Xenopus tropicalis: one gene and its partner. The protein of the gene in region 1 purifies or fractionates together with the protein of each later gene. This does not show direct contact. Links are inferred from orthologs where the notes say so. Each region holds a gene or a part of one and is shown on either strand. Other genes may lie near its edges. The genes, in order: luzp1 and dapk3.

Region 1 (12,898 bases):
TTTAGGCGGACCTCAAAGATGCAGGTAAAAAGAGGGGACTGATAGGGAACTCCCAAACATAACAATATTGCATATTAAGGGACATATTAATGATTGCTTGTGCCAATCATAAAGGAAACCCATCTAAGTTAAAGCAGGGGTGCTGCTGCCATGAGGTGAGTTGAAAAACTCACCTCAGGCAGTAGCAGCTCAAAAGAGCTGAAATTCCAATTTTTAAATAAGAGTTTCAGCTCTCTGTACTAGTGATGCCCCCCCTCGCTTTATTTACACTATATAAATTATTTAAATCTTGTTTCCTTAGCCTTGGAGTTACACAACTACAGCAAGCAGGCAGGAGCCATTTGGCTGGTAATGACAGCTTTGCATCATCCCAAAATCTTGTTTATGTGCCAGAATGGTGGACCTAATGCCCATGCACTGGTACACAATTAGATTGTAAGGAGGAAGGGGAAAATTTAGGAGTGCAGTGGCATCTATAAAGTGCTAAATTGAAAGTGAAAATAATTGTCTGCTCCACCTCTAAGCCTAGAGGCGGGGCACCTAGAATTTTCAAATGCCGTTATAATGGATTCGGATTTCAAGACTTTAATTACACAGCTTTTTATGCCTGGGTGACAGGTCCCCTTTAACAAATTTGGGGTTTTTTTCCAGAGATTATTTTTGCCCGAGATCCAGCATGAGGTCCTTAACTCACACAGGGTATCCTTAATCATTGCTTGAGCCTGAAGGCTCGAGCAATCATAAATCTGGCCCTAAGTGTCTATTCACCTTATTAAAAATTGTTATTCAAGTGATTTAAAAGACTGTAGGGGTTATATAATAAAAGGCACTAAGTTTGACCAGGAGCAGTAACCCATAGCAACCAATCAGCAGGTAGCTTTTACTGCTCACCTGTTTAAGAACAAACAACTTAATGGTTGCTATGGTTTACTTCTCCTGGGCAAACATTGTGCCTTTTATTATGGTTATACCACATTTGTTATTGGCTGCTGTTTACATTTTTTGTCTTCACTGCCAATGTATTACAGCCCATTACGTGCTTAATAAATTTGGGTTCACTTGCCTACATGTGGACTTACTGGGAAGCTTTGGGGGGTATCATTACAGTCATAGTATACTAAGCAGCATCCAAGGGTTAGATACACGGGTGGGATATATCCCACCCATGGGTACAGTTTTGTATACTGTAAATATTACCATGGCAACATCAAAAAACATTCCGGTAAATACTGATACAAGCAGGAAACAGTGTTATTTTATTATTCTACTGAGCACTGCACTGCTATCTTGTCTCTTATCCCAGGAATCCCTTGCAGCTACACTAGCTGAAGGGCATGTGCAGTAGTGTATCTTTGGAATTTAGAGAGTAAAATCTTTTATTGGAGATTAGCTTGGGAGAGTTTGTTGCCTGGCTCCCTTCCACTATCCACCTTCCTAGAGGAGTATTCTCAGTGCTAAATGCAAAAGGATCACACATGCATGGTACAATCTCAGTTTCCACAACCATAATGATATATCACTGTAGAAATCCTACAAGGGAGGAAGCAGAGTGTTGGCAGCAGCCTCCACTGCAAAACACAACAAATATAGGAATACAGTTATTATATGGTGAAAGCTAACCCTGGAGCATTATGAGGCAGAGTGTGGAAACATATTACCACAAGATGGTGCTGTAGAGTTTATTTCACCTATAGGGCTCTTACATACAGGCAGTTGTCCTGTTTCCCTTGTCCTGCTTTCCACTGCAAGGAAATGCACATGTTAATGCAGCCTGTTCTTTTAAAACATCTATTACAGGGAAGCTCCAAAATGCAGATGGAACACAACTTGGGTACAAACATATAGAAAAGAACAGGCTGCATTTCTTCAGGCATTTTATTGGGGTGAAACACATCAAAGATCGACCCCAAGGAAAAGCTCATGTGCAAGAGCCCTTACCAAGGGCAGAAAATCATGAAACTTTGCATGCTGTTCCACTAAAGTGTCAAATAAACCAATTGGCTGCAGTTCTACAATGTTAAGCGCTATGAACCTCATTTTTTTCATTACTGAAAAAAGATTGTTGCATCATTTTTTTACAGCAATATTTAAATCTATAATCAATTCATTGTGAGCAGATTCATGTAACATACCATTTGTGATCAAAAATGCAGCACAATGCAACACGTTTTTGTTATAGCCTTGACAGCACAATGTTTGTATTCATAAATGCAAATAGAAGGCAGCTCACCTTCTTAGGCTTGTACTTCTTCCACGGGTTATTGCTCTAACCTTCGTATCCGTTCCTCCACCATGCTTGGCTGTTGATGCAAAGATTTACTCCCAGAAGTGTCGACTTTTGTCAGTTTTTCAAGATTGTTCGCCTTTCTCCTAGAGCTATAACTGTACTCACTCTGAATAGGAAAGGAAGGGAGAGGATATTAACACCATATGGTAGGACAAAACTTTATCTTGCTTAAAGGGCCAGTAACACCTGTAAAACACTATGGTCTCATTTATTATACTTTGAACTAGAGAATCCAGAAAAATTACCTAGCATTTTTTTAAGACATCCTCTGGTGTTTTTAGTCATTAATGTCATTCCCAGCTAGTGTTCCAGTTCGGTGCCTGGCTTTTACCTGGAAACAAGCTATCTTGGCTATTGGTCTGTTAGGCCATGCACATGTACATGTATTATTAACACATTCCTCTTATTAGACTTATTAGAATGCATTGAGTTGAGAGCAGCAAGTGAGAAATAAGCCAAAATATGGATGGTGGGTATAAGGATATATGCTGGGCAGAAAATTGATTTTATCAAATATGGGCACCAGCTGGAAAAGAAAGGTTAAATGATGCGGTCAGCAATGAGTGCCTTACAAAATATAGCACGCCAAAATTACCTTTCCTTGTTCCTTTAGTGCTGTACATAGACATTAAAGGTTTTGTGGCTTTCGGAATTATTTTGAAGCTCTGATAAACAGGGCGTTTGGTGGGTTGATCAACTGCCGGGGCCATAACCTAAGAAAATTCAAGATGTGCAGGCCCTGTGTATATGGGCACCTAGAAAGACTTCCTGGCTAATAACCTCACACAATTGCTGACCAAAACTCAAAAAAGTCTCTGATTCTAAATAGATTTTAATCATCTTAAAGAGGACCTGTCACCCACACATAAAAAGCTGTATTTAAAAGGTCCTTTGCAAATTAAACTTAAATCCAAATTCTTTTTTTTATTAAAACAATCATACCTTTTACAAAAGGTATTTAAAAATCTGGGCTGTCAATCATACATTGCCTGCTTCAGGCATAGAGGTGGGGCAGGCAATTTCTTTCACTTTCTATTCAGCACTTCCTAGATTTCATTGCATTTATGTATCCTGTACATGGGCATCAAGTGCCTAATTGTGGAGCATAAACAAAATTTTGGTATGATGCACAGCTTGTCTTAATAACTTGCTTGCTGTAATTGTGTACTTGCAAGATTGAGGGTTAAAAAGATTTATAGAATTTATGTAGTGTAAGTAAAGTTTATTAAATGCTCAACCAACATGATAAAACAGGATTTGGAATGATTTCTTAATGTGACTGTTCCCCTTTTAGCAATAAGCTCAAAGCCAGAACTAAATCTGGCCAATCTGGTTGAAAAGACTGAAGAGTATAACCAGCCTGTGTGTGGGCAACTTAATGTGGCTCTGTTGGGCTTTAAGCATAATTAATTAATTTACAAACCTTGCTACACTTCACATAATAGTCTAAGCTTTTTTTTACCAATTTTTTAAACCCAACTCTCTTCACATCTGCAGTGCTGATTCTACTTATCACTTCTCTGATGCACCTACTGATACCTTGCCTTTAGACCTGAGCAAATAAACCCATATTTCTATGTAGGGATGCACCGAATCCAGGATTTGGTTTGTGATTCAGCCTTTTTCAGCAGGATTTGGATTCAGCTGAATTGACACTCCTTGCAGAACCGAATCTGAATCCTTAAAATCACAAGACTTTTTGTCACAAACCTAAAAGTTGAAAAAAAATTTCTGCATGTGCAGCGCATGGTGCTCTATAACCCGTCCATATCCTAATTTACACATGCAAATCAGGGCTCCAAATCTGTATTCGCCCAAATCTTTTACAAAGGGTTCGGCTGAATCCGAAAATAGTGGATTTGGGGCATCCTGACTGGTTGCTAAAAGTTACTGCAATAAAAATTATTGTGGACTCTTTTCCACTACCGATCAGGATTTCAAAAGCTTAAAAATACTTAATATATCAATAACAAAAGTTTATTCCTAAAAGGGACATAATGACTAATCTTCACGTCAAAAAATGTTGATTTTCTCCAATATATGAATTATTTTGCATGCACTTGTATGTTATTTATTAAAATTATCTGTTTCTGATTAAATGATTATGACAAATATATTTTGTTTTAAAACCCTTATTTAAGAACATAATATGCTAAACCAATAAAAGCACTAAACCAACAGAAGCACAAAGAAAATAGCTATGTCATACCTCTGTGCTCAGGCGATTCCAGGAATTAAGTCCTGCAGATGAGCTCCTTTTGGAAACCGTTTCATTGACTGTACAACTGTTTTCAAAAGAATTCCTGTTCCTTGAATACATTTCCCGGGTATGAAGTTTTCCAGGTCTCTCATCCTCGAAAGCAGACCTTCGTCTGTGCTTAGTATCCACTGTCACATCTTTGTGATTAGACAAAATATCTAGTTCTTCAGTGGATCCAAACACATTGCGTCCATAAGAACTTCTTACCTTTACACTTTTATTATCCAAATGATTCCCTTCAATTTCATGACTTTTCAGCAAAACAGTTTCTAGTCCAACACTATTATTGTTGTTTTTCATTTGTTCTTTGAAATTGCCAGGGTCAAAAGCCTTGCTGTTCTCCTTATGATCCAAGTTATCTTTTGTATCCACCAATTTTAACATATCTTGTTTATTGATTGATATTTCAAATGGGATACTTATGTTATTTAACAAAGGTTGGTCATTGGCAGATAGCCGAATATTACTGGTAGAAGTATGCCTTTGTTTTATGATTTCATCTGTGTTAGATCGAGATGAAGGTGATTCGGCTGGAAAAAATGTTATGCTACTTGTCACTTTATTTGTTGTTGTGTTAATTTGTGATCTACTCTGTTCTGCACTGGATCTTGCTCTGTATTCGCCCATACTTTCTTTTGTGTCTTTTTCAACAATAACTGGCTTAATGATCACTGTGGATTGCAAAGCTTCTCTTGGGCTATATGATCTTGCCCTTATTTCTATGCGGGAAGGTTTTTCCATGCTTTCTGAATTATCAGAAGATGTTCTTCTGGATATGTCAGATAATGAATCTCTTTGTTGTTGCTGACTGTCCATATCAAACTGGGAAATCCTCTGCTCCAGTACGTGTGTCTTTTCTTTAGGATTTGACTGTCTTCTGTTCTGAATTCTTAAAGTTACATTTCTTTTGTCCCATTCTTTATTTTCAGTAGATTCTGAAATATGAGGTTTTTCAGGAATTTGTGGCTTTAAAGATGATAATGGTCTTTGTCTTTCTCTGTTATATGACACTCTATTTGAATTTAAGTTTTGATTTCCACTATCTTTACTTGATAGTGGCTTGGTGGATTGGGCAGTGTCAGAAGAGTTTGTGATGCTATCCATTCTTGATTTAAGACGCGAGTATCTGGAAGGTCTATCCCGAGATATGTCCTTTACTTCACTACTGTCTGAATTAGGAGCAGTCTTAGTTTGTACTTCCACCATTTTTGCCGTATATTTATCTGGAGAGGTCCCCTCTAACCCAGAAGTGACTGGTTCTGAATGCAATGCAGATGAAGAGTTATCATCCAACTGCACTTCATGAAAATTTGAATTGACTTTGTCTGATTTGGCACCAGGAGTCTCATTTAAATCTTCATCTTCTTCAGATGTGCTCTCTTTTCTTGAGTCAACAATCTGAGTAACTTTAATAGAATAGTCTTCTCCAAATTGTTTTGCGGATACATCTTTATTTCCTGTTGATGCTTTCCATGTTTTTTGGGTGTTGTGTTCTTGGGCAGCTGGTGGATATCGACTTAATACAGATGGCTGATCTTTAGCCTTTTTTATTTCATGTAGAGCTCCAAACTCTTTAGCAGCAGATACATTGGAAGTTAGTCTATCTTCAGATTTCCTTGAATGGCTTAAAGTCATGTCAGATAAAGTAGGTTTTAAGGGTCTCTTGCTATTTGTACTTGTGCTTGATAAATGTCTCTTAGAGGAAATATCCACATCTATGTCACGGTGTCTCTCTTTTCTCAGTTGTTTTGGAGACAAATCTCTCTGAGTATATTTTGATGCAGGAGGTTCAGGTATTACTCCTTTAGACTTATTAGCTCTTTCATTTTTCGATTTATTGTGTAAACTTAATTCATCGCTACCAATAACTCCATTTTCTACTTCATTCTGCTGACTAACTTGTCTTTTTAGTTCCTTAAGTTCACCATCCAAATGTCTGGCTTTATTCTGTTCACCAAGGAAGATTTCTTGCAATTTTCTATTTTTCTCTCTAAACTGTTTGAGCTCTTCGTCAATTCCCTCAAATCGTTTTATCTGACTTTTAAGATTCTCAATTTCTTGACACAAATCATGTATTTTATTGTCTTCTTGTTGTTTATTCCTCTCGTTTTCGCTAGTTGTTTGATTCTCTGATTTAATGTAGTCAAAACCAACTCCTTGAGACAATTTAGATATCACATTGTCTTCAATCCGTATTTTATTGTGTTCCAGTAACTGATCAGATGACCGCTGCAAAACATTTGATTCGTTTTGGGTCTGGTCTCCAATGTTTTTTTTACCTTTTAACTGCTGTTTAAGTTCCTGAATTATTTTTTCATTCTGCTTTTCCTTCTCCAGAAAATATTTTCTTTCATTAGCAAAACCAACAGCCAAAGACCTAATCTTTTCAAGTTCACTAGTCAAAAACTCTTCAGCTTTATCCAGTTTGCTTTCAGAAGATTCCAGTTCTCTAATTCTGGCCCTAAGTGTTTCAAGTTCAGAAGTCAATTTCCTAGACATATTTTTTTCTTCATTCAAGCTAAGACACAGTTGGGTGCAGTCATTTTTGCTCTTGCTAAAAGCTTCTTCCAGCTTCTCCAGTTCTGTCATCTTTTTTTGGAGAATTTCAATTTCTGACCTAAGTTCTCGAGTAACATTTTCTTCATTTTCTAGTTTTTCCCTAACAATTCTGCACAAATCCTCCGCTTTTTTAACCTCTTCGTCTTTACCTTCAATTTTTACAACCCTCTTTCTCAAAGCGTCAATATCTGCCAACATGCTAGAGTTGTTCCCTTCTACTTGGACAATTTTTTCCTGAAGTTCCAAAACTTCATCTTCTGCTTTCTGAAGATTTCTTGTAGCTTCTTCCAGATCATCCAGGCGACGATTTAGACTTTGTAACTTAAAGCGAAGATGTCTGCTTGTGTGTTCCATGGCTGCAGTAAACTGATGGCTCTCACAAGAGCCCTTACCAAATCTTTTTTCTAATATGAGTTCGTTGGCAAGTCAGTTATTATCCTTTCTCTTCTTGATAAGCACACCTTGGCGGACATCCAGTCATCATTTTAACCTTAAAAAGAATGATAAAATGAAGATTACCATAGGCATTCAAATCTTTATAACATGTTTCTATACAAAATTCATTCTATATATGAAAGTGCTTCATGTGGTGTGTACATTTCTTTCAGTTGTCAGTCAACGAAGAAAAGGCTAAGTCACTTGGGGGTGCCAAAATGTTAGGCACCCCCAAGTGACTTTAAGGACCAAATCTAAGCTGCACGGTCTCCACTGTGTTGGTTATTGGTTACAGTTTTGTAATGTAAAACAAGCATAACATGTTCTGTGGACCCTGGTCCGTGAAGGTAGCATCCCATTAAATCAAGCAAATGCCATAAGTAGCCCTCAAGGACTTGAGTGACTATCTTAAATTTAATATGTTTTATAGACTGTAAAGCCACAACAGGTTGAGAGGACCCATTGCCTCTTGGGGTATAGAGGTTTAAATAAAATCCTTGAAATTGCTGCCTATGAAAACTAGAACAGCGATACCTGCACAGTACAAAAAATCTACCACAAGAAGAAAAGCTCTTGCTTTGATAGGGTGGTTTGATACCCCTACCGTGAAAAACGTTTGGGGAAAGTGAAGTGTACACTGTGTCAAGTTGCTCGGATCTTCCCAACCAGTTTGTCCCATTCATATTTACCAGCTAAAATATTGTCACCAATTGAACCCCTTTTCTAGGGTCCTTCCACTCTCTCAGCAAACTTATCAGGTCTTATGGCTTCAAATACCATCTATACTGATGAAACAAAATTCTTGCTCTTTGCCTGTTCTTCATCTTCTTTTGTTATATCTCATGTGTTCATCTGTTGTTCTACTATAAAACAAAACTTGTTGCGTTTATACCCACCCATACTGTCATAGTAATAACACTTACTTTGCGGTCAGATTTGTTAATAACTTTTCCTTTACACTGTACATCCAATAAATCAAATAATCTCACTAGTTACATCTCGAAAAAATTCCTGCAACGATGCACCCCTCTAGAGTACAACAACCTACTTCTTACTGTCACTCCCCTGCATATGCCCTTAATAGATCCATAATGTTGCTGTAAAACTCAACTAAAGGTGGCCCTCAAAGGCATATTTAAGCAGCTGATTTGGGTCCTTCAGACCATTTTCGGCAGCTTATCTGCCCATGTACGGGAACCCCTGAATGGACAATATCAGGCCTACAACTGGCCAGATGTTGTAGTTCATTGGTTTGGCCCTCTAATTACTCTGATATTGCCCACCTTAGATGGGCATATAGATGGAAAGATCCACTCATCTGGCTGCCTCCACAAACAAGCGGATCGTATATTGTTACCAGGGTGCTGCCCAAAAGGTCCACTAGACAGAGAGTAATAAATATCTTCACTAAAAAGGTAACCATGTTAAAAATTAGCTCTGTGCCATGAGACAAGGTAAGAATCTAGCCTCAGGGTCAGTGAGTGGCCAGCTACCAGGGGTGGCAAAAAGCTGCCTTTGGTAACTTAAAGAAGAGAATTTCCGTTTTTAAAAATAAAAATTTGACTCTAAGTGCAGAGGGAGCACTAGCAGAGCAAGGTGTGGCTCGTTCTTGACCCGCTCCAAACATAAAAGAGGTAAGTGTGGATGGCACTAATAGCAGCTATAATAAAGTAAAGAACATAGAGAGTAAACTTCTGTCCTACACTAACCTAAGATATTGATCAAGACTCGTGAGTTGGATCTATATCAAACATGAAAAACAAACTTGTGAAAACACCATGTCTTTATTTTAGCACAAACATTTCTAGTCAAGATTGAACTTAAAAGCTCTTATGGGTTTATTGCAGTGATGTGTATCTAGCAAACTGAATGACTATCTAGGAAAAAATGAGAAAACATCTATACTATTTCTTCTGCCAGGTACCCCTGTACCTCTCTGTATTTTTGAGAGATTATTTGCATTGATCTATCATGTGGGCAGGGAGGAAAAAGAATACCTACACAGCCACCAAATGATGACATGAGCAAGCATAAGCCTATTCTATCACATCTTGACTTAATTAAAATGTGTCTGTTTTGAATCACGCGTTTTCCTTCCCCTTGCGGAGATGGAAATGCACTAAACAATCTCTTTTTATACAACAATAATTTGCCTATAAATATCCATTACTTTTAATGAAAAAATATAGTTAGACTGATGCAGGCCTAACTTCTTTAATATCTTCTGTTAACATATATACATGTACACATGCAAAAATTCTATCCTATATTTAAGGATTCCTTTTAAAGGAAAAGTAACACTAAATTTTTTTAAGTAAAAAATCTAATCTACCCTGATCCAATAATTGCCCTATCCTTCCCAGCGTTTATTATTTTAAATGCTTTATTAGAAAATACCGGCGATCTTCCCTCTTTACAATCCACTATGTGATGAGCGACATCTTCTCCTTGCCAGACTCCAAAACCGGAAGTCAATTGTTTGTCTGTACAGAAGGAAGGCAAGGAGGAGATGTGGATCATCGCATAGTGGATTGTGCAGGGGGAAGATCGCCGTATCGCCGTGTTTGAAATGACCGGATGCAAAGTTTTAGAAAGTATTTTAAACTGGCACATTTGTAGAAAACAATGCAAATAGGGACATCAGATTTAAAACAATTTAACATTATCATTTCTGCGATTAATTTGTGACTAATTTAAATAATATCTCTCAATGCATAAACTTTGTAAAGATTAATAAAAAAAAGAAAAGAATGCTCTAGATTGTGGAAGAGACTTCAGGTCTAAATGGATACAAATTTATAGTATTTTAAGAGACTTTAGGAGCAGATTAAATTTGTGAGACAATGAAGTAACAGTTTAGGGTGAGGATACGAAAAAAATGTTCAAACCTGTACGGTCCTGCAGACAGACACACCTGTGCTGTTCAGAAACCAGTAACACAGCAAATATCAGCAAAGTATCATTCCTAAACCAGGTGCGTGTGTGTATAAACTGTCTGTGACTTGTATATATGTATTTAGCATTCACTCTGAGTCACTGAAACAGCATTTGTCATTTTCAAAATATGCATTTTAAAGGGACTCTAATGATAATTTAAAAGCATGTCGTTTGTTGCTCTAACGTAAGCATCCAAGACTGTGGCAGCCGATTAAGCTACCTGAGTACAAATGTCTGTCATCTACTGGAAAGAGAAAATTAAAAGCCAAATACCACAACAAAACGAAATAGCTGTTTAATACCTAACAATGTTTTGCTCGTTCAAGAAGGTTAAGCCTTTAAGCCTGTACAGCTGGGCATGCTGCAATGTACTAAACAAAACTGTCACTTATACACTGCATAAAAGCTACCCATCTGGCCTATTTTATAATGAGTTTGAAGCCTGATTTACTATAATGGAGTTTAAGCACAAGCACCATACTGCACATCACATTAGACTGACATCATAAACAGTTTAATTATTTTGTTTTGAGGCACACAGCTACATCTGGCTTAGTGCTTAATGCTTCACATGCCATTTGTATATTAAAAGACATATTTAATCTAAACAAGCTATGCAAAAGGAAAATACCAAAGTATCTGTAATTTAACAGTTATCACCATTATCTCACACATAAAATCTTATTTTTTTTTTTTATCTAATGCAGTACTGTCCAACTTCTGTGGTACCGAGGGCCAGAATTTTTCTGGCCTACATGGTGGAGGGCAGATAATGGAAGACAGTTTTGACCACTCCCCTTTTTTAAACTGCACCCATGTCATCACAAGAGCTTTTAAGACCATACCCACATTAACGGTGGCAGCGCAGCAAAAACCCAAATGGTTGGTGCTCACTGCAGGGATTTCACCCTTCTTTCATATGTGAAAGAAGTTTATAATGTTAAAAAAAAAAAGGTTTATAATGTCATATTAAGGCATACCCTTAAATCCATATGGCTCCTCCCCCCCTGTGGGTAGCACAACAACCTCCAGCACATAATTACACACCTTATGGACTAAAAATGATTATTTCCAATTGCCAGGTTCTACTCCCACAGGCAGCATAGGGCAAACAGAGTATGGTACACACAGTTAGCATAGGGCAGGCAGAGTTCTGCCCTATGCTGCCTGTGTTTGCCTTGCTCTGCCTGCCCTATGCTGCCTATGTGTGCCATACACCCAGGCAGCATAGGGCAGACAGTACATACAGTGACACAATGCTGGCACTGCTCCTTCATAAACCCTTTGGGTAAATATAGGAAATGCCTAGTTGATGAAACTGAAAGCCCAACCAAATCTGCTATAGGTCCAATTTTACCTACAGTGAAAATGGAACCATAGTACTAAGATATAACTTACAGTTTAGGGGGCATTGACAATGTTACCAACTTTATATAACTGATTGTTTGAGGTCATTACATTTTTATTTACACACAATCTAGGATCATCATCCACAAAGCACAGAATTACTTGATTTTCATACAGAACAGCATCAACACTAATCCCTGCTCAACATCTCTACATGTTATCACAGCACTAGGCAAAGCACTGAACTTAAATGACCTTTCAGTTGATTTGCTTTCCTGCTAAAGGGGACCACATTTTGTTTTAACATGTTATCCATTATTTATATAGAGTCAACATATTTTAAACACTTTACACAGATCATCTAAATCAGTCCCTGCGCTAGGCAGCTTAGATCAGCAGCTTCACTATTCAATTCAGACACACAAAAGGGTCAATTACATTTGAAGCCAATTTGCATGCAATAAGATTGATGATTGATAGGTGGCACCCCACCATGTAGAAACCCTTGCAATTTTGCAGTAATAATTTTTTTTTTGTTTTGTTTTTTAATTTATCCATTCATAGATATAGCCACAGCTTCAGTGCTTTAGACATAAAAGCTTTCAGCAGCTGTGCTGTCTCACACTCCACACTCCCTGCAGTGTGAGCCAATCAGACACTTGGTACCTGAACACAGCATGTTCAGGTGGGGCTGCCTGGCACTCATGGCTGCATCTCTGGAGGACTACAAGAGCATTAACAATCAAATAAAGGGAATTCTCCATCTCTAAAGAGAGACGCCATCTCTCCACTAGAGAGAACCAGATTCTCCAAAAGGTGGCCATGTAAAAGCCAATCTCCTATGTTCTCTGAGCGTTTGGCTCACGGGCCACATGGATGGAGATCTTACTAAAGGCCACGCATGTTATGGCTACACTTTTATTTCTCCGATCAAGTCACACTAGCTATCAGAAAGAGTATAGAAGCCTCTTCCCTTCCTTATCTCGCAATGAACCATGCACTGGTGTATTGGTAGATGAATGTTTTAAACTTGCGTTATCCCAGAATGGACTAATATGTATAGTAGACGGATA
Region 2 (12,898 bases), on another chromosome or scaffold:
ATCAAAGAGGATGGTGAGCAACATGTTGCTCACGAGCCACCTGTTGGGGATCACTGCTCCAGGGTGATCAGTAGTAGCATTCAGTATGGTGCATTTAATTATTTACTGCTTATTACCCTGGCTGTAATTTCATAAGCCAAGGAATTATGGACTACTTATAACAGAAATGTTAACACATTCCATGTCAAGAGGGTAATAATCATCCACTCTATGTATGTGAAAAGGAATGTAAATAAATACATGATTAGATCATTATCACCCTAATGACATGGCGTTAATGTATTTTTGTAAAATGAATAGGACAGTATAGAAGATTGAGATGGTTCACAAGCTGTCCCCTCTCTTTCTGTACCTATCTATAATGCAAGAAAATCACTAATGGCCCAGCGGGGGATGTTTAGCTCCTATACCTGGGCATGGGAGTGTGACATGGGATGTAGTAGTTGGGGCTTATATCTGGTGGGCTTTTGTGGGCGACATGGGGCCCAGGATATGTACTGTAAGTTAGTTACCTGGGCGCAACCTATGCCGTTTGGTCTGAAGCCCGCATGCTAGCTCAGCCTGGTGGAGAAGGAATCTGCATCATGGAGAAGGAAAAGACCATTGCTGTCCAGCCTGCCATGTCCATCATGTTCAACCATAATGCCTATATATTACCTGCCTAACTTCTAGTTGATCCAGAGGAAGGCAAAAAACCCATCTGAAGCCTCTCTAATTTGCCGCAGAGGGGAAAAAATTCCTTCCTGACTCCAAGATGGCAATCGGACCAGTCCCTGGATCAACTTGTACTAAGAGCTATCTCTCATAACCCTGTATTTCCTCACTTGCTAAGAATCCATGCAGCCCCTTCTTAAAGTTATATAATGTATCAGCCAGCACGATTCAGGGAGGGAATTCCACAACTTCACAGCTCTCACAGTAAAAAATCCTTTCCGAATATTTAAATGGAACCTCCCTTCTTCTAAACGGAGTGGGTGCCCTCGTGTCCGTTGGAAGGACCAACTGGTAAATAAAACATTAGAAAGGTTATTATATGGTCCCCTTATATATTTCCATACCCTTTACCAGCTTAGTTGCCCTTCTCTGGACCCTCTCTAACTCAATAATGTCCCGTTTGAGCACTGGAGACCAAAACTGAACAGCATATTCTAGATGGGGCCTTACCAGCGCTCTGTAAAGGGGAAGAATAACCCCCTCCTCCCGTGAATCTATGCCCCTTTTAATACAGCTCAAAACCTTGTTTGCTCTTGCAGCTGCTGCCTGGCATTGCTTGCTACAGCCAAGTTTATTATCTACAAGGACTTCAAGGTCCTTCTCCATTAGGGATTTGCCTAGTGCAGTCCCATTAAGGGTATACGGGGCTTGCATATTTTTACATCCCAGGTGCATGACCTTACATTTATCCACATTAAATCTCATCTGCCACTTAGCTGCCCAGATTGCCAGTTGGTCAAGATCCTGCTGCAGGGATGTCACATCCTGGATAGAATTGACTGGTCTGCAGAGTTTTGTGTCATCTGCAAACACTGATATATTACTCATAATACCCTCCCCCAAGTCATTTATGAACAAGTTAAACAAAAGTGGACCCAGTACAGAACCCTGAGGGACCCCACTGAGAACATAGTAACATAGTAACATAGTAAGTTGGGTTGAAAAAAGACATACGTCCATCAAGTTCAACCATAATGCCTATATATAACCTGCCTAACTACTAGAACCTTATTCCAAGTAGAGAATGTACCATTAACAACCACCCTCTGTACCTGATCCTGTAGCCAGTTTTCAATCCATGTGCAAACGACTTCACTAAGACCAACAGACCTTAGTTTAGAAAGCAGTCTTATCTGTTTTTCCTTTCCTCTACTTCCTGGTACAGCATGAAGCCCTGCCCCCTCTTCATATCTCTTTGACTACAGGAAAATCGAAGAGGAGAGCCATCTGGGCATGCCAGGACTAAAGGTGGCCATACACGCACCGATATTATCGTACGAAACCTCGTTTCGTAGGATAATCGGTGCGTGTAAGGTATGTCAGCGAGCCGACCGATGTCGCAGGAAGCTGCTGAAATCAGTCGGCTCGTCGATCGGCCAGGTTAGAAAATTTTGATCGGGCGCCATAGAAGGCGCCTGACCAAAATTCTCCCTTCAGAGCTGAATCGGCAGAAGGAGGTAGAAATCCTATTGTTTCTACCTCCTTACCTGCCGATTCAGCCCTGAATGGTGTGTGGCGGATCTGACGATGTTTCGTGCGACCGATGGTCGTACAAAACATCGTCAGATCGCCACGTGTATGGCCAGCTTAAGGTATGTTATGCTGGGGGTTGTTTAGAGTAATTTTAGAAATAGAAAAAAAAGGTTTACTTCTTCTTTAAGCTCTTTGTTTAAAAAGTCCTGCAAAAAGTGCGACATTAAGTGCAAAAGACCGGTAGAGATGCAGGGCAAAGAAAGGTCTACCCCAAGTAGGTACATATGGCCTGCACTATCCTGACCTCAGTACACTGCAACCCCTGAACAATCTGGTGCTTCAAGTGGATAACTGCAAAGGGTTGAATTACAGGCAGCGGCTGCTCCATCACCCTTGGTTTCACAGAGGGACTTTTCAAACACCAAGCACCAGTGTGGCTCAAGCTCTTTCTACAATTCAACAAATTGGTAATGTATCTCATTCCCATGACATTACTGTTATCAAAGGAGAAGGAAAGGCGAATAAAGCATTAATCTCAAGCTGCAGGCATACCTTCTGTTCTCTCAATAGTGCCTTTAAGTCTCCCCATATTTCTCCTGTTCAGATCATCAGAAGCCTCATAGGAAAAAAAAGTGCTGGGCTCTGTAAAGAAAGTTCCCATAATGCCTCGCTCCTGCACCAAGACCAAGTGAACATGCTCAGTTAGTTAGACTATGAGTCAGCTTCCTGCTGATTGGCTCAGATCCACATTCCTAAGGGGGGGGGTGAGTTCTTAGGATTCTTGAGTGAGGGGGGAGCAGGAGAGAGGAGACAGCAGAAAACTGTGTGTTTCTGGCACAAGAAATCTTTTTACAGAGAAGTCAGTGCAGCATTTCTGTGAGTGCTTATGGCTGTATTTACATAGACCTTTCTGATAAAGCTTACTTAGTTTTTACCTTTCTTTCTCCTTTAAGGACAAAATTCTTAGAGAGAAATACATTGACATTTTATCTTAATTACAATCTTATAATGAATTTATAAAATCAGAGAAAAAAGGTGATAGTGAGGAAACTAGAAGGCAGCCGGTAGCCAGAACCTTTTAGTTACATAGGGTTGAAAAAAGACCAGAGTCCACCAAGTTCAACCCATCCAAGTAAACCCAGCACACACAACCCACACCTACCAATGTATACAATCACATACATAAACTATATATACAACCACTAATACTAACTGTAGATATTAGTATCATATTAGCCTTGGATATTCTGATTGTTCAAGAACTCATCCAAGCCCCTCTTAAAGGCATTAACAGAATCTGCCATTACCACATCTCTAGGAAGGGCATTCCACAACCTCACTGCCCTCACCATGAAAATCCACCTACGCTGCTTCAAATGGAAGCTCCGTTCCTCTAATCTAAAGGGGTGACCTCTGGTGCGTTGATCGCTTCTATGGGAAAAAAGAACACCCCCTATCTGCCTATAATCCCCTCTAATGTACTTGTACAGACTAATCATGTCCCCTCGCAAGCGCCTCTTTTCCAGAGAAAACAACCCCAACCTCGACATTCTAACCTCATAGTTTAAATCTTCCATCCCTCTTACCAGTTTAGTTGCACGTCTCTGCACTCTCTCCAGCTCATTAATGTCCTTCTTAAGGACTGGAGCCCAAAACTGCACTGCATACTCAAGGTGAGGCCTTACTATTGTTAACTCCATTATGAGTGGTACCAATTTATGACTATTTATATATTAAGGTTAATTCTTCTAGTTAATTTAGAGGAAGGTGGAAAAATCCCACTCTCCAATCCTTTACAATTTGTGATTGTAATCGTTTCCTGATACCCTGGGCTGGTGCTCCTGTTAGCAGAAAACTGCACTGGGCCAGGGTACTTCTGTGTGAGAACCAAGGAGCAATCCTCCTTTACGGTTCTTCTTTTTATTTCAAGAATCTTTCAAAATCCAAGGGCTGACGCATGAACGGTAGAGTGAAAAAGCAATCTTTTTTGTTATGTTATGTTCAGTATCAGGTAAGTGATTACAATCACTTGGGTTTGCCTAACATTTGGCATCTCTAAATGACTGGTGCTTTCATTCTCCATTAAAAGCTAATTTTAGTAAGCCTGTATTTTCTCACTTGCTAAAAAGTCATCCAATGTATCTCTCAGTACAACCACTTTAGGTCCTACAAATTCAAAGTTCTAACTTGGCCAGACTTTCGTCATAACTAAGAGTTCCAATGCCGTTTATTAGCTTAGTGATTTTTTTGGACACTATTTCAGCTTTCAAATTTGAGCACATGATATCAAAACATATTCTAGATGGCCCTAACTAGTGCCTTGTATTCTTTTTTTTTTTTTTTTTTTTTTTAAAATACAGAACAATACCTTTTAGGCACTTACAAGTCCTTTTCCATGAAGGATTTGCATTAGTATAATTAAAATTAAAAGTGCTTTGTATATTTTAAATCTCAGGTACATAAACATACTATTATGAGCACTGAATCTCATCTACAACTTAACCACCCTGATTGCCAGCTTGTCTAGGAGGTGTGGGCTAATAGAGCCCGCATTCAAGTTGGGGGGGAAAATAGTTTATAAAAAAACACACCACAGGTCCCACCATTACTAGGCTGCCCGCACCAGTGTGGGTGGCCATGTTGTTTGCCCCACACACGTATAATGAGCTAGTCTCCCTGTTTGCACATTTTGTGCATGCGCATGATGTAGGAGCGGTGGATGCGATTCACCCTTCTACCTCACACACATGCACATAACAATTCGTGCACCTCTGGTGGGGGAAACCGTTTTGGTTGATGATTGGTTCCATTTAATGTATCAGCCGGCACAACTGATTCAGGTAGGGAATTTCACAACTTTACAGCTCTCACTGTAAAACCCTTTTCAGAATATTTAGATGGAACCTTCTTTCTTCTAATCACAATGGATGCCCTTGCGGCCCGCAGGAAGGATCTACTGGGGAATAAAGCTGAAAAAATGTCCCAATCTATGTACTAAAAATAAATACTGATCTTAATTTAATTTCCTGAAATTGAGTTTTTGTTCCCTCATTGAATGTATGCTGTTTTGCAAGAAACATAAACCGAGGTAATTACAGAATGCTTTATCCAGAACGTTGCAAATTATGGGAAGGCCATCTCCCGTAGAGTTAATTCTAATTTTTGGAAAATATTTACTTTTTTTCTGTAATAATAAAACAGGAACATTTACTTGGCGGTAACATATACATAGGATAAGTTAGGCTGAAAAAAAGACATATGTCCATTAAGCTCAACCTAATACCTATATCTAAACTGCGTTGATCCAGAGGAAGGCAAAAAAAAACCCCACCTGAAGTCTCTCGAATTTGCCGCAGGGGAGCAAATTTGTATAGACAAATACAATACCAAAAAAGTTTTAGTTGATGGACATTAAGCCTTTATTTTTAGATGGAATGACAATTCTAAGTTATAATACAGTGGTGTAATGTCCAAGCACATGTACCCACATAGCCTTAAGTTGTCAGATAATATTTTTCTTTTATATAGGTGCAATTTGATACCATTATTCAGAACAGTATTTTTCAACACAAGCATTTTAGTGCAGGACATAACAGTCTAATAACAGTACATAAATAAAGTGCACTGGTGTAACTCCAGTGCTTTGGACAGGAATGGGGACATAATCCACATTATTTGCATAGATATGTATGTGGAATGTCTACACCAAATTTTGGTCTGGATCACTAAACTGTAAGTGTAAATGACTATGCCAATGTACAGAACTAAATACTGTCCATACCTGCTAACGCTGAATGTACAGGAAGTGGTTAAACATAAGAGCATAAGCGCATTCAGGTACAATTGCAGTCTTTAAATAGTAGGACTGAAATAATCCAAGGTTATTTGGGAAAAGAAACATACATTTTTCAGCAAACCCCTCTTAATCCATCTCCACCTCTCTCCACAGTTTTTAATAAATCTTCCACAAAGCTCATCTCTGCAGTGAACTGCACCTGCAGGGCCTCATATCTATTTTCCAGTTTACCAAACCTTCTCTTCAGAGCATTGGCACTAAGCATAGCTCCCCTTAAATCCTCCTGTACCTGCCGACGCTGACCCTCTCTGCGCTGCAGTTCTTGCCGGAGCCCTACTAGTTGGCGCCCAACTCCTTCCTGTTCTTCATGGTACCAACTTTCCTTTTCCTCATAGATAGAGCGCAGGGCGCAAAGGTCCTCGCGTGAGGTGGCCTGACTCTTTTGAAGCTCACGAAGTGCATCTTCTGCTGCTCCTAGCTCCTCCAACACATGGCTAAATCTTTCAAAATTCACATAGGTGTTATTTGGGGGCATGCTAGAATGTGATTTTATTGTGTATTCCTTCAAACGAGTAGTCTTCAGGCGACGACGTTCAGGACGTTTTCCACTGTCCTCATGTCGGACATTTCGACGCTTGATAGCCTAGTAATGGAAGTATAAACTATATTAAAATGTATAAATTTAAACGACTTGGATTTTTTTTAACAAAAGTAAACAATTTACTATAGCCAACAGGATACAATGCACTGTTACAGTTTTTAAATCAGCACTAGTTACAGTCAAGAGTTTTATGTTAGAGGGTATAGTCTGATTTCATTGCAGCTCTGTTAAGACAACACAGATATTATAGTTTTTGAGCACGCTTAGAGTGGTTTATATGCTTGTTACTATCTTTATCTTACATTATTGTTTCAACAGTGAAAACAAGCATTGACTGCACAGAATGGCAAAGGACTGACAGACATGCTTTCATTAGCAATTACATTTACAAATCTGAAATGTGTAATAAATGTATCAGAGAGCTGCTTAGATTTTTTATGTTTACAACCTTTTTACTTAGCCAGATAAGACTATTACCATTAGGGTGAAGACACACAGAGCTACTAGCAGCAGCAACTTGTCATGGCTACAAAAATACACAATGCTAATAATTTACCAATAATGGTCTATACGTGTGTTTTAGCAGAGGCAATTCTCAGTATTGTTTATGGCAGGGCATTTTCTGGCATTAAGTAGCTGTAACAAATAGTTCTGTGTGTCTTCGCATTTAGATGACTGAAAAAAAGTAGACCTTTGTAGTGTGAAGGGCTGAAGGTCCTCTCACCTTAATCCACGAATGCTCTAAACTCTGATCAATGGTCATTCTTTTTCTAAAAAAAAGAACAAGAAAAAAAAAACCAAAAATCAGCCTTGCTTTTTCATTTAACGAAAAAAAAAAAAAATCGACTACCTAGATTACAGACATTGCCACAAAATCTAGCCATGCGAAAGCATGACATTTTTACTTCTGAACCCCCTCCCATATAATTTCGAAGTTGAATCAGAAAAAGTCATTATTTTGCTGGGACAAAAGGTTGCACTTGCTGGATGTATTTTTTCAACCTATATTTCTACCTATATATTCAACCTATATTTTCTATTTAATCAAAAGCAGGGGGTAACTATATAGGGACAGGAATGGAAAGAGCCCTTTCATGCAGACATAGCTGTGTTAAAAAAGCATTTGAGTGTGCATGGACTAAGTTTGGTGTAACAGTGTTAAAAGGGATCTGGCTGTAAGGCAGATGCACCCCATGATAAAACACAGCTTAGCAACACTAACTTGCATTTGTGCCTATTAAATTGGTTTGGTGTATAGATACACCGTAAAGGAGACATTTAACATACTATATAGACTGACTTTAATGACAATTTGGCAATACCCCTGGGAATTATTCCTTAAAGGCGCATAAGAATATTGAGCAATACAATATGCAACACTATTTAATAACTTCACAACACTAGCTGCAGCTATTAAAATAGTGACATGGCAATTTATTTTATAAACAAGCTGTTGTTACTCCATAATAAGTAGTTCATATTAATAGTTGCATTAAGTAATGTGCCAATAAGTCAGTCAATTTATTGGGGGGGGCAATAGAATTTGCCCCAAGTTAAAACATACCCACCTACCTGACCCATCAGACTGGTCTGCGCTGTCATTGCTTGATACAGACGTTACAGAAGTTCCCACAAACTTAAGTTTTTCAATAAATTACGAAAATTGTGTACATGTAGTACAGGTATGGGATCCCTTATCCGGAAACCCATTATCCAGAAAGTTCTGAATTATGGAAAGGCCACCTCCCATAGACTCCATTATAAGCAAATAATTCCCTTTTTCCCCTGTAATAAGAAAACAGAACCTTGTACTTGATCCCAACTAAGATATAATTAATCCTTATTGGAGGCAGAATTGTCCTATTTGGATCTCCATAACTTCTGCTATCAATATTTAAATGATTTTTAGCAGACTTAAGTTATGGAGATCCAAATTGGGAAAACCCCAGGTCCCGAGCATTCTGGATTATAGTTCCCATACCTGTACATATACACCAATAACTAGTCAGTAGTAGTTCACATAAATACTTTTATAATAAATTCAGGGGCCCAATGATCTTTCTGCGGGGCCATTAACTACTCATTCCACTGCCAGAAAGTTCACGTAGGAGAGGCTCATATACTTCAGTAAATAGATCCCAATATTAACAGATGATTTTACTCTATAATAGGTAGTTTATAAATAGTTCCATTAATTAATGTTCTAATAAAGTCAGTTTATTGGGGGAAATGGAAATTGCCCTAAATGAGAACTAAAGCTTAACTAAAGAAATAGGGTAGAAATGGTGTACAATATGTTTTGGGCTTCTGTACCAGCCCAAGGAAACCACAGTCATTTAGCAGGGAAGATCTCTGCCTCCAAAGATGCCCCCAGTAGCTCCCCATTTTGTTTTCTGCTGATCCATTGCACATGCTCTGTGCTGCTGTCAGTTACTGAGCTTGGGGACCAATGCACCGAATATACTGTGTATATAGAATATAAATGTAACTGTACAAGGCTGATTAGTTATTCATTTGGATTCACATAACATGGCAGCTCGGAAACCATTGCAATTGGCATCAGATTTTAATAATTAGCCCGTTAGCAGCAGGTTATTTGACAGGCCAACCTGATTTTCTGCTTGATAATTTGCAACAACCCCTTCTCAACAGCTGCTCGGAGCTCACTGAGCATGTGCACTGTCCCAGACCATTCTAAAAGAATCCAAGATGAGGAGCTCCTGTGACAATTGTAAAGTCTTATATCATTGCTGAAACTTAACATTTGGCTAGTGCAGTCAGTTTAGTTTATAAAATATGGCATTTCTAACCATATTCATTTTTAGGGTTTAGTTCTCCTTTGCTCCTGCCTGCTTTTGTCAAGCTTCTCTGCACTGTAATTGCTTGATCCATATTTTTACATAAGTCTCTAGGCAAGTTAAGTTAAATTGTTGTTCAAGGTACCTAAACTGCATAAGTTTTAATGTAACTTGCTCACTTTTTGTAACTTTTGTAATGCAGCTAGGCCCAGGACAACAGTCCCCACTTGCCCCACCCCCGCCCCGACAGCAGCCTTGTTTTGACACATCAAATTTTCACCCAACACTATCAGGTCAAAGGTTTAATGCCCCCCCCACCATTTGTTGTGCAAATTTTACCCTGCTTGCCGCTGATGCCCCAATTACAAAGGGACCTGAAATGTAAATACTTTATTTTAACATGAAAAAGTGAAAAAGGAGTGCTGTCCCATACTGCTGTCCCTATCTGTATTATCAGTTCTCTCTTCAAGAACAAAAGCTAGCAATAATGGGAAGAAAAGATGAGATGCGAAAATAACTTACTTTGGATCTTTGACCAATAGCCGACGAATAAAATCTTTAGCCAGTTCACTAGTGTTGCTGAAATATTCCTCATCAAAATCATAATTCACACCTGAAATGTTGGTCAGAGTTTCCTGCTTGGTGTCTCCAAGAAATGGTGATGCACCACTGAGGCTGAATAAAAGGCAAGTTTCAAAGGCTATAAAGTCAGAAAAAAATTATGCTATCTGCATATGTTTTATAACAAGAACTAATAGAAAGAAGCATAGTGGTACCTGACAAATTCTTGGTTATAACATACTTACAGAATGTATGTGATGACTCCAATGCTCCTGCAGGGAAACAATGGATATAGCTGTAGTCATTAGCACATTAACATTTTATTTTTTTCATTTTCCTACTTGACTAATGTTCATCCATGAAAGCCCAGAGTTTAATCTTATTAAAAAAAAAAAAAAAAAAAACACGTCTAAAAAAAATGCATTATTATTATAAAATAAAGTATCTTCTTAAAAAAACGTTAGGCCAATGGTACACTGGCCATTTAAACTGGCAGAGATGTGCCTGAATCCACCAAAACCACCTCCAATTTACTTGAATTTGACAGTACTAGTACTGTTACCGGCATATTTGTACCTCTTATCTGTAACAGGCATGAAATCAAAATTAATTATAAAAATTTTTTTTATGTTTTTGAAAAAAGGATTTCAATGCAGGATTCTGCTGGAGAAGCTCTATTGACTGATGAAAAAAAAAACAAAAAAAAAACATGTTTTTCCATGACAGTATTCTTTGTTCTACCTGCAGCTGGCTGGAAAAAAACTAATCACTGACTGGTAAAGAGATATAAAAGTTGTAAAAATAGGATCAAAATGTACTTAAAATAATGCATCAGCCTTTTCATTTAGGACATGATCATGGATGGTCTTTTCACTTGCATATGCTATTGCCTAAACTTGGATATAAAATTTCTACACTTCACAAACAAGCCAGACCAGGGAAAATACTTGGCTGGTTAGTCATAGCATACCAAACAGTCTATATCCCTGACTCACTGTAGTAAAAGGGTGGCTGCTTGTTTTATTTATATTTTTCTTTTGTATTATCTGAATAGTAAAACACATTACTTACAAGGAAACGTCACCCAAAAACATGTTTTGCATTATGTTTGTAATGTAATTATATTTAAATAAAACACCTTGAAAATCCCCCATTTTTTACTTATTTTTGAAAAAGATATTAAAACATCTTTGAGACCATTACGCCACCCACAAAAGTGTTGGTTCCTTGAATAATTTCTTCCCTGTAGCAGTCCTGTAATATTCCATGCCATCTAACAAATTCCCCCATCCTTTTAAATGGTACACATAAGGTCAGTCTTACCACATATCAGCTTCCAGTCCTAATGGCTCATAGTTTACGATTTCAGGAGCTGGAGTAGAAGAAGTTTAAAAGTCAATTAGAATCTTGCCCTGGACTCTTTGGAACACAAGAACTACAAAACCGAGGACTCTGGGCTTATCTAAACCAGCATTATCCAATCTCTGAGGTACCGAGGGCCACAATTTTTCTGGCCTAAATGGTGGCGGGAGATAATGGACGTGAGGTTTGTTCACTCCCTTTTTAAAACCACACCAATATTAACACAAACATTATTAAGACCTTAGCCACAATTGGACAGCACTGATCTAAACCACTGGAAAGGAATTTACTTTAATGCTTCTCTACGCTTCTCTACATATTTGTTCTAAGTCAGTCTGTCTCCGTTTTTCTTACAAATCACTGACAACATCCATCTTTTGTTGGTTGGTTATACTATCCAGGATACCCTGGAAAATATGTTAATAATAATGTAAAAAATGGTAAATAAAAAGATAACAAATAAAAGTGAATCTTGGATAATAACACAACCATTTCCCAAGTCTCTCTTACCTACAAATTCTGGAGTTCCAAAGATATTTTTGAATTCATTCCCAGCTTCTATCTTGTGAGCAATTCCAAAATCTATAAGTTTTATTCTTGGACTGGGGGAGCTGTGGTCCAGAAGCATGATATTCTCTGGCTGTATAAAAACAAAAAGCAGATAAACAGATAAATGGACCAACAATTTCCTCACAGCTAAACAACTTAACATCTATGTTTTCAATTTAACACTATTAATACTACCAGTATTGTAATTATTTTTGTATCAACTGGATATGAAAATGTACTGCAATATATTTACATGCATGAATAAACCATTACTATAAAACAATTGTATGAACAAATCCCATGCATCCTCCGCCTATAGCCTGTTGCCAGGACTGTATTTAGGTCCAAAGGTCCTATGCTGCCATAGGCACTGGACCACAGCCTGCTCCCTTCACTGACAATTAAGAACACCCCCTCACCTCCTTCACCAGATTTAGGAACAAGTACCCGGTGGAGGGCTAGGTAGATTTTTCCTCTCATTTCTTTAACTAATATATAAGCACCCTAGGGCCACCCCCTAAAGCTGCTGACCTAAGACTGGGCCCTCAAATGCCTATATGGCATATATGGCCCCAGTGTTTGTTGGGGGCCATATATGACAGTCTGCGAGGATCTAAATATACGAATGTTTCCCTGTAAAATATTATAAATAATTATTAAGCAAGAGCTGATGGAGACATACCTTGAGGTCAAAATGTGCAATATTCTTGTGGTGCAAATAGTGAACCCCATCAAGAATCTGCTTCAGAAACATGGTTGCCTCTTCCTCACTTAAACTTTCCTTTTGTGCCAGAAAGTCAAAAAGCTCCCCTCCAGAAACCAGCTCAAGTATCAGGACCACATCTGTGCGATTTTCAAACACATCATGTAAGGTGATGATGTTGGGGTGCTGAATTTCTCTTAGTATGTCTACCTCCCTCTCAATTTCTTCACGGCTCACACCTCGGCGACTAGATGACAATCTGCGCTTCTTAATAAACTTGGCTGCATACTCCACACCGGTAGAACGCTCGCGGCATTTCCGCACAATTGCAAACTGCCCAC

Evidence for each region.
Region 2: the proteins of luzp1 (region 1) and dapk3 purify together in Homo sapiens (affinity purification with mass spectrometry; 3 studies listed by BioGRID and IntAct, with this or other methods). This does not show direct contact. The link is inferred for Xenopus tropicalis from reciprocal best matches to the Homo sapiens genes LUZP1 and DAPK3.

What each region holds. Positions count from the first base shown.
Region 1 is NC_030678.2:89,342,608-89,355,505, forward strand, and holds part of luzp1 (leucine zipper protein 1), read right to left. Parts: intron 7,597-12,898; 5' UTR 7,461-7,596; coding exon 4,497-7,460; intron 2,394-4,496; coding exon 2,259-2,393; 3' UTR 2,231-2,258; intron 1-2,230.
Region 2 is NC_030677.2:93,139,440-93,152,337, reverse strand, and holds the end of dapk3 (death-associated protein kinase 3), read right to left. Parts: intron 12,898-12,898; coding exon 12,537-12,897; intron 11,946-12,536; coding exon 11,816-11,945; intron 11,316-11,815; coding exon 11,267-11,315; intron 10,216-11,266; coding exon 10,189-10,215; intron 10,058-10,188; coding exon 9,905-10,057; intron 7,355-9,904; coding exon 7,309-7,354; coding exon of another isoform or gene 7,276-7,308; intron 6,627-7,275; coding exon 6,096-6,626; 3' UTR 5,582-6,095; downstream 1-5,581. UniProt on the Homo sapiens protein: Serine/threonine kinase which is involved in the regulation of apoptosis, autophagy, transcription, translation and actin cytoskeleton reorganization. Involved in the regulation of smooth muscle contraction.